Sus scrofa: one gene and its partner. The protein of the gene in region 1 interacts with the protein of each later gene in a biochemical or structural test. Links are inferred from orthologs where the notes say so. Each region holds a gene or a part of one and is shown on either strand. Other genes may lie near its edges. The genes, in order: PLXND1 and SEMA4A.

The links.
Region 2: the proteins of PLXND1 (region 1) and SEMA4A form a complex in vitro, tested with the Homo sapiens proteins (2 studies listed by IntAct, with this or other methods). The link is inferred for Sus scrofa from reciprocal best matches to the Homo sapiens genes PLXND1 and SEMA4A.

The regions. Positions count from the first base shown.
Region 1 is NC_010455.5:68,993,724-68,998,210, reverse strand, and holds the start of PLXND1 (plexin-D1), read left to right. Parts: upstream 1-1,585; 5' UTR 1,586-1,641; coding exon 1,642-2,955; intron 2,956-4,487. UniProt on the Homo sapiens protein: Cell surface receptor for SEMA4A and for class 3 semaphorins, such as SEMA3A, SEMA3C and SEMA3E. Plays an important role in cell-cell signaling, and in regulating the migration of a wide spectrum of cell types.
Region 2 is NC_010446.5:93,876,215-93,880,019, reverse strand, and holds part of SEMA4A (semaphorin-4A), read left to right. Parts: intron 1-200; coding exon 201-325; intron 326-494; coding exon 495-667; intron 668-1,953; coding exon 1,954-2,104; intron 2,105-3,805. UniProt on the Homo sapiens protein: Cell surface receptor for PLXNB1, PLXNB2, PLXNB3 and PLXND1 that plays an important role in cell-cell signaling. Regulates glutamatergic and GABAergic synapse development.

The DNA of each region.
Region 1 (4,487 bases):
CATGTGCACCCACCATGTGGGAGTCCCCCATTTTGAGAGCCTGGAGCTGGCCTGGGGCCGGAGGAAAGTTGAGGGGGGTGGATGTTTGGAGCTGGCTGACTTGGGCTTTCAAAGGTCATAGTTCTGCTCCTTAAGCGCTGTGCCTCTTGGGCCAGTCCCTTCACCTCTGGGGCCTCAGGCTCTGCATCTATAAGGTGGGACTATAATAGTACCAGCCTCAGAAGGTGGCTGTGTGGGTGAAGGGCTTGGCAGAGTGCCTGGCAGGGGGCGAACTGCACCTTGGCACCCACTGTGGCCAAGGCCATGCATACTCCTGATGCAGGCTCTATGGCCCTGTAGTCATCACTGCCTGCCTGGGCCCCAAGTGCTCACCTGCTCCTCCCAGGTGAAAGGAGAAGTAGGCCCAGTGCCAGCTCACCTGTGGCTGATCTTCCACTAAATCTGGGAGGATTTTAGATCCTTCCAGAGTCCCAAATAAAGTGAGTGGGAGGGCAGCTTGGTCTCCAGAGGAGGCAACTGTGGGCGTCCTAGGGCCATCATCCTCCAGGACTGACATCTTACTCTGGGTGGCCCCCCGGTTGGCACAGGCCTGAAACAGTTCCTCTCCACGTTCCCTGTTTCATGTCTGACCCTGGAGCTCTGGTCCCTTTGTCCCTGTCACCTGTCCAACCTCTTTTGGGGCTGGGGTTTGAAGGACAGATCATGGGATTGAATGGGGTGGTGCCCCCTCCCCAGCTGCCCCTGGGGGTGCCTGTGAAAGGGAGTGGAGAGTGAGGAGAGAGAGGGGGAGGGCGCCAGAGAGGAGGGTGGACAGAGCGGGTAGAGGGATGGAGAGAAAGAGAGGGAGGGAGACAGAGACTGGCCGAGGGGACCGGGGTAGGGGAGGTGGGAGGAGAACCAGGCACAGAAAAACGGAGAGAAGGGAGAGAGGATACAGGGGAGAAAGTGGGGGTGGGGGCGACGTAACACGGAGAGCGAAAGACAAGCAGAGACTGAGACAAGGAGCGACAACACGCAAGGAGTCGGGGGGGTGGGGGTGGAGGGGGAGCACAGAGACAGGGAGACACTGAGAGACAGACATCGAGAAGGGAAGAGAGACAGAGACGGCAGAAAAAAGGAAGGAAAAAATAAAACAAGCCCGAGAGACAGGCCAAACAGCCAAGAGGGAGAAGGAACTAAAGCAACCAGCGACGGAGGCGGAGGCAGCACCGGGAAGGGAGCCCTGGGCCGCGGTCGCCGCGCGGGAAGGTCCTGGAGGGCACGGGGCGGCGGGACACACCGACAGCCGAGCGGGGGCCCGGCAGCCGGAGGGCAGGGTGGCAGCCGGGGGCTGAGGCCCGGGACGCCAGGGGAGGTGGGCCCCGGGCGGGAGGGGGCCCAGGAGGCGGGGCGCGGCCGGGCGGGGCGCGGCGGGGGCGGGGCGCGAGGGCGTGTCCGCAGCGGAGCCGCCCCCGTCCCGCCCCCGGGTTGCGCTGAGCTGCTGAGCCCGGCCGGGGCGCCGGGGCCGGGGGCGGCTGGCGCGGGCAGGAAGCGCCTCGCGGCCCGGGCCCGCCCCCCGCCTCCTGCCGCCTCCGGACTCCCGGCTCCCGGCCGCGCCGCGCCCCATGCACTCGCCGCGCCGCGCAGCCCGCGCACGCCCGGATGGCTCGTCGCGCCGCGGGCGGCGCACCCCTTAGCGCCCGGGCCGCCGCGGCCAGCCCCCTGCCGCGGCGCCCGCCATTCCCGGCCCCGTCGTGTCCGCTTCTGCTTCTGCTGTTCCTGGGGGCGGCGCGGATCGACGCTCTGGAGATCCAGCGCCGGTTCCCCTCGCCCACGCCCACCAACAACTTCGCCCTGGACGGCGCGGCGGGGACGGTGTACCTGGCGGCCGTCAACCGCCTCTACCAGCTGTCGGGCGCTAACCTGAGCCTGGAGGCCGAGGCGGCCGTGGGCCCAGTGGCGGACAGCCCGTTGTGTCACGCCCCGCAGCTGCCTCAGGCCTCGTGCGAGCACCCGCGGCGCCTCACTGACAACTACAACAAAATCCTGCAGCTGGACCCGGGCCAGGGCCTGGTGGTCGTGTGCGGTTCCATCTACCAGGGCTTCTGCCAGCTGCGGCGGCGGGGCAACATCTCGGCGGTGGCGGTGCACTTCCCGCCCGCCGCGCCGCCCGCCCAGCCCGTCACGGTGTTCCCCAGCATGCTGAACGTGGCGGCCAACCACCCAAACGCGTCCACCGTGGGGCTGGTCCTGCCGCCGGCCGCCGGCACCGGGGGCAGTCGCCTGCTCGTGGGCGCCACGTACACGGGCTACGGCAGCGCCTTCTTCCCGCGCAACTCCAGCCTGGAGGACCACCGCTTCGAGAACACGCCCGAAATCTCCATCCGCTCCCTGGATGCGCGCGGCGACCTAGCCAAGCTCTTCACTTTCGACCTCAATCCCTCCGACGACAACATTCTCAAGATCAAGCAGAGCGCCAAGGAGCAGCACAAGCTGGGCTTCGTGCGCGCCTTCCTGCATCCTCCGGACCCGCAGCCGGGAGCCCAGACCTACGCGTATCTGGCGCTCAACAGCGAGGCGCGCGCGGGCGACAAGGAGAGCCAGGCGCGGAGCCTGCTGGCGCGCATCTGCCTGCCCCGCGGCGCCGGCGGCGACGCCAAGAAGCTCACTGAGTCCTACATCCAGCTAGGCTTGCAGTGCGCGGGCGGCGCGGGCCGCGGCGATCTCTACAGCCGCCTGGTATCGGTCTTTCCCGCGCGAGAGAGGCTCTTTGCGGTCTTCGAGCGGCCGCAGGGAGCCCTGGCGGCCCGTACAGCTCCTGCGGCGCTCTGTGCCTTCCGCTTCGCCGACGTGCAAGCCGCAATCCGCGCCGCACGCAACGCCTGCTTCGTGGACCCCGCACCCGACGTGGTGGCGGTGCTCGACAGCGTGGTGCAGGGCACCGGGCCAGCCTGTGAGCGCAAGCTCAACATCCAGGTACGCCCGGGCCGCCGGGGTGCGAGGGTGCGAGGGACCATCGAGGGAGAGCGTACAGTAACTGGGCAAGTTGTGTAACTGGGCAAGGTGTGACCGTGATGCAACCCAGATATGCGTGTACGGGGACCCGAGTGTGTACTCTGGGCCACAAATGCATTTGCGGGGACCCAGGTATACTCGACAGGATATAGGCGGGGATGCAGGTGTTAGCCGAAGTGGTGGGGGGACTTAGTGTGAATATGGCTCAGGTGTGAGCATGGGGCACTTAAGTTGCCTGCTGAATTACAGGTACGCATATCTAGGTGTGTGGGAGTGGTCTTGGTCTCCAGGTGGGCGCTGGAGAGAGAGCCAACTGTGCGCAGCCCGCTGGTGGTCACAGGTGTTTCAGGGCTGAAGCTGAAGGCACAGCAAGTGAGTGCAGTGTCTGATCAAATATGTGTTCTGGGCCAGCTCTGTGAGCCCATCAGGGCTGCCTTTGGGAGTTGGCAGATGTGTGCACGGGTGTGGCAGGTGTGCAGGGAGGCAGGCAGGTGTGGAGCATGGCCCTGCAGTTGCAAGGTACGTGCAGCAGGGACACTGGTGCAACAGGGTGGGCCTAGGTGCACAGTGGGATATGTGGCAAGGGACACAGGCATTTGGGAACCAATAGGCACTCTTCAGGGGGCCACTGGTTGGCAAAGAGGTGTGTTCCTGAGGCCAACTTTTATTCACTCATTCAACACAATTTACTGAGTGTTACACTTGCACCAGGCATGGGGGCTAGTGGGGAAGGCAGGAGCAGTTGTGGGATACATACCCCATGGCCTAACTCTAGGTTTTTAACAGTAACATGAAGATATACTTTGTTCTCATCCCCATTTTACAGATAAAAAAACTGAGGCACAGAGTTTAAGGAACTTGTTCAAGATCACACAGCTAGGAAGCAGCAGAGGCAGGATTTGAATCTGGGCTGTCTGGCCCCAGCATCTGTGTTCTTAATGCTGCCCAGCCCTTGCTGCCTCACAGCTCAGGGTGTGTGTTAGAGGAGTCCCAGTGGCTGGGTCAAAAGGTGCTGGCCTCGGGAGAGTGGAGAGAGGTGAGCAGACTGCATGCAGCACCGGAGTGCGGGAGGGGACAGGGAGGACCAGTGGTAGGACCACAGCAGCTGGGGCTTGGGCTGGGCTGGGCAGTGACTAGTGAGCCAGGTTGGGGGATTGATGTCTCTTGGGGGGACATGACACAGGGGCCCAGTACAAGGGGGAACTTTGTGTGGTTCCACTCAAGGAAGCCCATCAAGGAGGGGTCACTTCTTCAGGGGGTCCTGGGAGGTGTCCCTGTGCCTTTTCCGCACTGAGTCTGTGAGGAGACCTGGCCACTCCCGGGGGAAGCCTTAACTTCTCAAAACGCAGAACTCAGCCTTCTCCTCCTTGGGGCCAGGCCCCCTGTAGCCCTGCCCCATCCCTTCTCCGTGATCCTCAGGCCCTGGCAAGCTCATGAGGTTAATTATTCCCCTGTGGGTGTGCCCAACACTGGGGCTTTGAGAAAACGCAGAT
Region 2 (3,805 bases), on another chromosome or scaffold:
CAAGTTTTCCTCTTACGTAAATAAATTAGAGAAGCACCAGTCGCTCCCCAACTTCATCCTCCCACCCATGTCTACGCCTCGACCAACTGTGGGACCCGAGGCATCATGTCACCCGGCTTCTAGAGCCAAGGGTTTTCACAGAGGGGAAGCCAGGGCATCCAGGTGCTCCATCTCTAAGCCTATCTACTCCGCCCTGGCAGCGGACGCCTCCTTTGTGGCAGCCATTCCTTCGACCCAGGTCGTCTACTTCTTCTTCGAGGAGACAGCCAGCGAGTTCGAGTTCTTCGAGAAGCTCCACACATCCCGGGTGGCCAGAGTCTGCAAGGTCGGCCAGCGGGGTGGGGGGCGGGGCTGACCGTGGAGAAGCCAATGAGGGCGTGACATGGGCGGGGCTGAGCATTTAGGACCCAATCGAGTGGGAGGGAGAGGGCGTGGTTTCCGGGAGGGGAAGGGGGAGGACACCCCGGGCCCTCTGACTCCTCTGATGCCCCTAGAACGACGTGGGGGGAGAAAAGCTACTGCAGAAAAAGTGGACTACCTTCCTGAAGGCCCAGCTGCTCTGCGCCCAGCCCGGACAGCTGCCCTTCAACGTCATCCGCCACGCCGTTCTGCTGGCAGACAATTACTCCACTGATCCCCATGTCTACGCAGTCTTCACCTCTCAGTGGTGAGCAGCTAGGCGAGAACTTGGGTCTGGAAGTGGGATTTGGGATCAGCCCCCATGTTGCCTTGGCTCACCAGGGAAGGTAGGAACTGATGTGAGCCAAGCACACACTCCACACTTCGCATAGGAGGGTGTTTGATCACTGTCTTCCAGGAATTTGACTGATGCCCTTAACGTAAATCAGAAAAGTTCTGATTAGTTTATACCCTGCCTGGTTCCAAAAAGGATAGGAGGCAGCTTATGAAAAGCAAATGTTAAAACCTATGAGGAAGTGTTAAAAAAAGGAGAATAAGAGAAGCCAGAGATAGGGTCAGCACATTATAAATGTTTGTCATTTATACAGTCTCTGTCATTTATACAGCCCATATTTACCTCTGGGCTTCCTAATGGTCAGAGTGAAGAGCGAAACATCATCAGTAACATAAGATAAAAATAAAGTCGTTGCTTGGAAGCTGAGAAAGTTTAACTTATTTGCTGTGGTCTGGCCCACAGGGTTCAGGTACCTGCTGACAGTGTGTCAGGTACCAAAGATATCTGTGGAGTTCCCATCATGGCTCAGCGGTTAACAAACCTGACTGGCATCCATGAGAATGAAGTTTCGATCCCTGGCCTTGCTGGGGGTTAAGGATTCAGCGTTGCCATGAGCTGTGATGTAGGTTGCAGATGTGGCTTGGATCCTGTATTGCCGTGGCTGTGGCATAGGCAGGCAGCTGTAGCTCTGATTTGACTCTATATGCCACAGGTGTGGCCCTAAAAAGACCCAAAGTTATCTATTGTTGTAAGCAGGGTCTGGTACCTGTGGCATCCAGAACTGAGAACATGGTGTAAGCCACCGTCAGGTTAAAGAGAACAAGAGGGACAGATCTTTTGCCTCCACAGATCAGGGCTGAAGGAATAAACATCATCTTGTAGTCAGGTTATGGTTGGTTATCTGAAGACCAGGAAATTCTGGGACCCCAAGCAAGAGCACTTCATCTGGAGCTTGTCAGGGACCTGGTTACACTGTCCCTCCCATAGAGACCCAGTCTGGGCAGGAAGGGCAGGAGGCACCCCTGAGCCCAATTAATTCTCATTAACGATAGTCACATCTCAGATCCTAAGATGGGCTAGAGTCTGGGGCTCTCCTTGCCCTTGTCACCACAGCTGGGCCTGACCCAGCTCTTCTGGGGTTTCTCACCAAGGTGGGAGGGCAGAGGTGGGGGGCGGGTGGGGTGGGAAGTAAGGGCTAGAGGGGGAGTTCTGGCACAGCAGAGGATATTACAGACAATGTCCCCTCTGGCTGTCTCTAGGCGGGTCGGTGGGACCCGGAGCTCTGCTGTCTGTGCTTTTTCTCTCAAGGACATCAAGCGTGTCTTTGAGGGAAAGTACAAGGAATTGAACAAAGAGACTTCACGCTGGACTACCTACGGGTTCCCTGATATTAGTCCCCGGCCAGGCAGCGTGAGTACTACCCCCCAACCCACTGAATGAAGCCCCTCCTCCCAGGCACGTAACATGCATGTCAAAACACCTGTCAAGGCATAGTACAAATGCCCAGCAAATGTGAGTGCTCCCCACACTCCCAAGTCCTGTCTGCTCAAATATATACCCATTCCAGCTGTCCAACCTCACCCTAAACACAGAGGAGTACCCTCTTCACCCCAGCTAAGTGCATGCCACATACCTGGGCATATCACTAAGGAAACAAAGGAGCACAGGCTAACACCAAGGACTGTCTTGGGCATCGTCACCTGCATTTCTTATTTCATTTTTGTTTTGTTTTTTGATCAAAGTCATATATGTACAACATTTAAAGAGTCATATAAAACTGCATGGCTGATTACAAAAAACAGCCCTATTCCCTATCCTTGGCACTTTTCCTGCTCTCGAGACAGCCACCTTCAATTCTTTTAGCTGATTCAATTGATATATATCTCCAAATCTCTAAATATTTTTATTGCTACTTTTTTTTTTTTTTTAAGGGCTACACTGGCAGCATATGGAAGTTCTCAGGCTAGGGGTCAAAATGGAGCTGCAGCTGCTGGTCTACAGCACAGCCACAACAACTCAGGATCCAAGCTGCATGTGCAATCTACACCACAGCTCACAGCAACATCAGATCATTAACCCACTGAGTGAGGCCAGGGATCGAACCTGCCTCCTCCTGGATACTAGTCAGGTTCGTTTCTGCTAAGCCACAACAGGAACTCCTTATTGCTACTTCTTGATGTTTCAGTTTTAGGCAATAACTGTTGAATTCCCATTCTGGATGGTGAGGATTTAACCATGTCCCCCCACCTCCTCACCCCCACTCAGCCATGTGCTGGAACTGCCTTGCAGCAACTTGCAAGAACCCTTTCCAAATGTAATTGTAATGTATACATGTAAGGATAACCTGACCCCCTTGCTGTACAGTGGGAAAATTAAAAAATTAAAAAAAAAAAAAAGAAAGAACCCTTTCCAAATTCACATCCCATGACATTATATGGATAGCTTGAAGTCAGTCATGGTGGGAATAATACATCACGGAAATCAGCACACACTTCAAATCAAGGTTCCCCCACCCATCATCCCAGAGCTGCCTTACCAACACACCCCTGCACCCACCCCTATCTCCCAATAGACTTTTATAGTAATTTTGATTTTATCAATATTTGTATTATGACTTATTATTCATAACTGAGCCAGGTAGTAAGCCATGATAACTTTTCTTTTCTTTTCTTTTTTTTTGTCTTTTTGCTATTTCTTGGGCCGCTCCCAAGGCATATGGAGATTCCCAGGCTAGGGGTCTAATCGGAGCTGTAGCCACTGGCCTACACCAGAGCCACAGCAACTCGGGATCCGAGCCGCATCTGCAACCTACTCCACGGCTCATGGCAACGCCGGATCTTAACCCACTGAGCAAGGGCAGGGACCGAACCCTCAACCTCATGGTTCCTAGTCGGATTCGTTAACCACTGTGCCACGACAGGAACTCCCCATGATAACTTTTCCTTTTTCCATAACTTTTAATTTTCCTTGGGGTTAGTAATTTATCTTAATTTTTTTTTTTTGCTTTGTTTTCTAAGCTCTTTATTTCAACCCCAAACCCTTCCTCAGTTATCCGAATCTATTCTGAAAACAGATCCATTAAGTGTTCTAAGAGTTTCGTTTTCCTGGAGA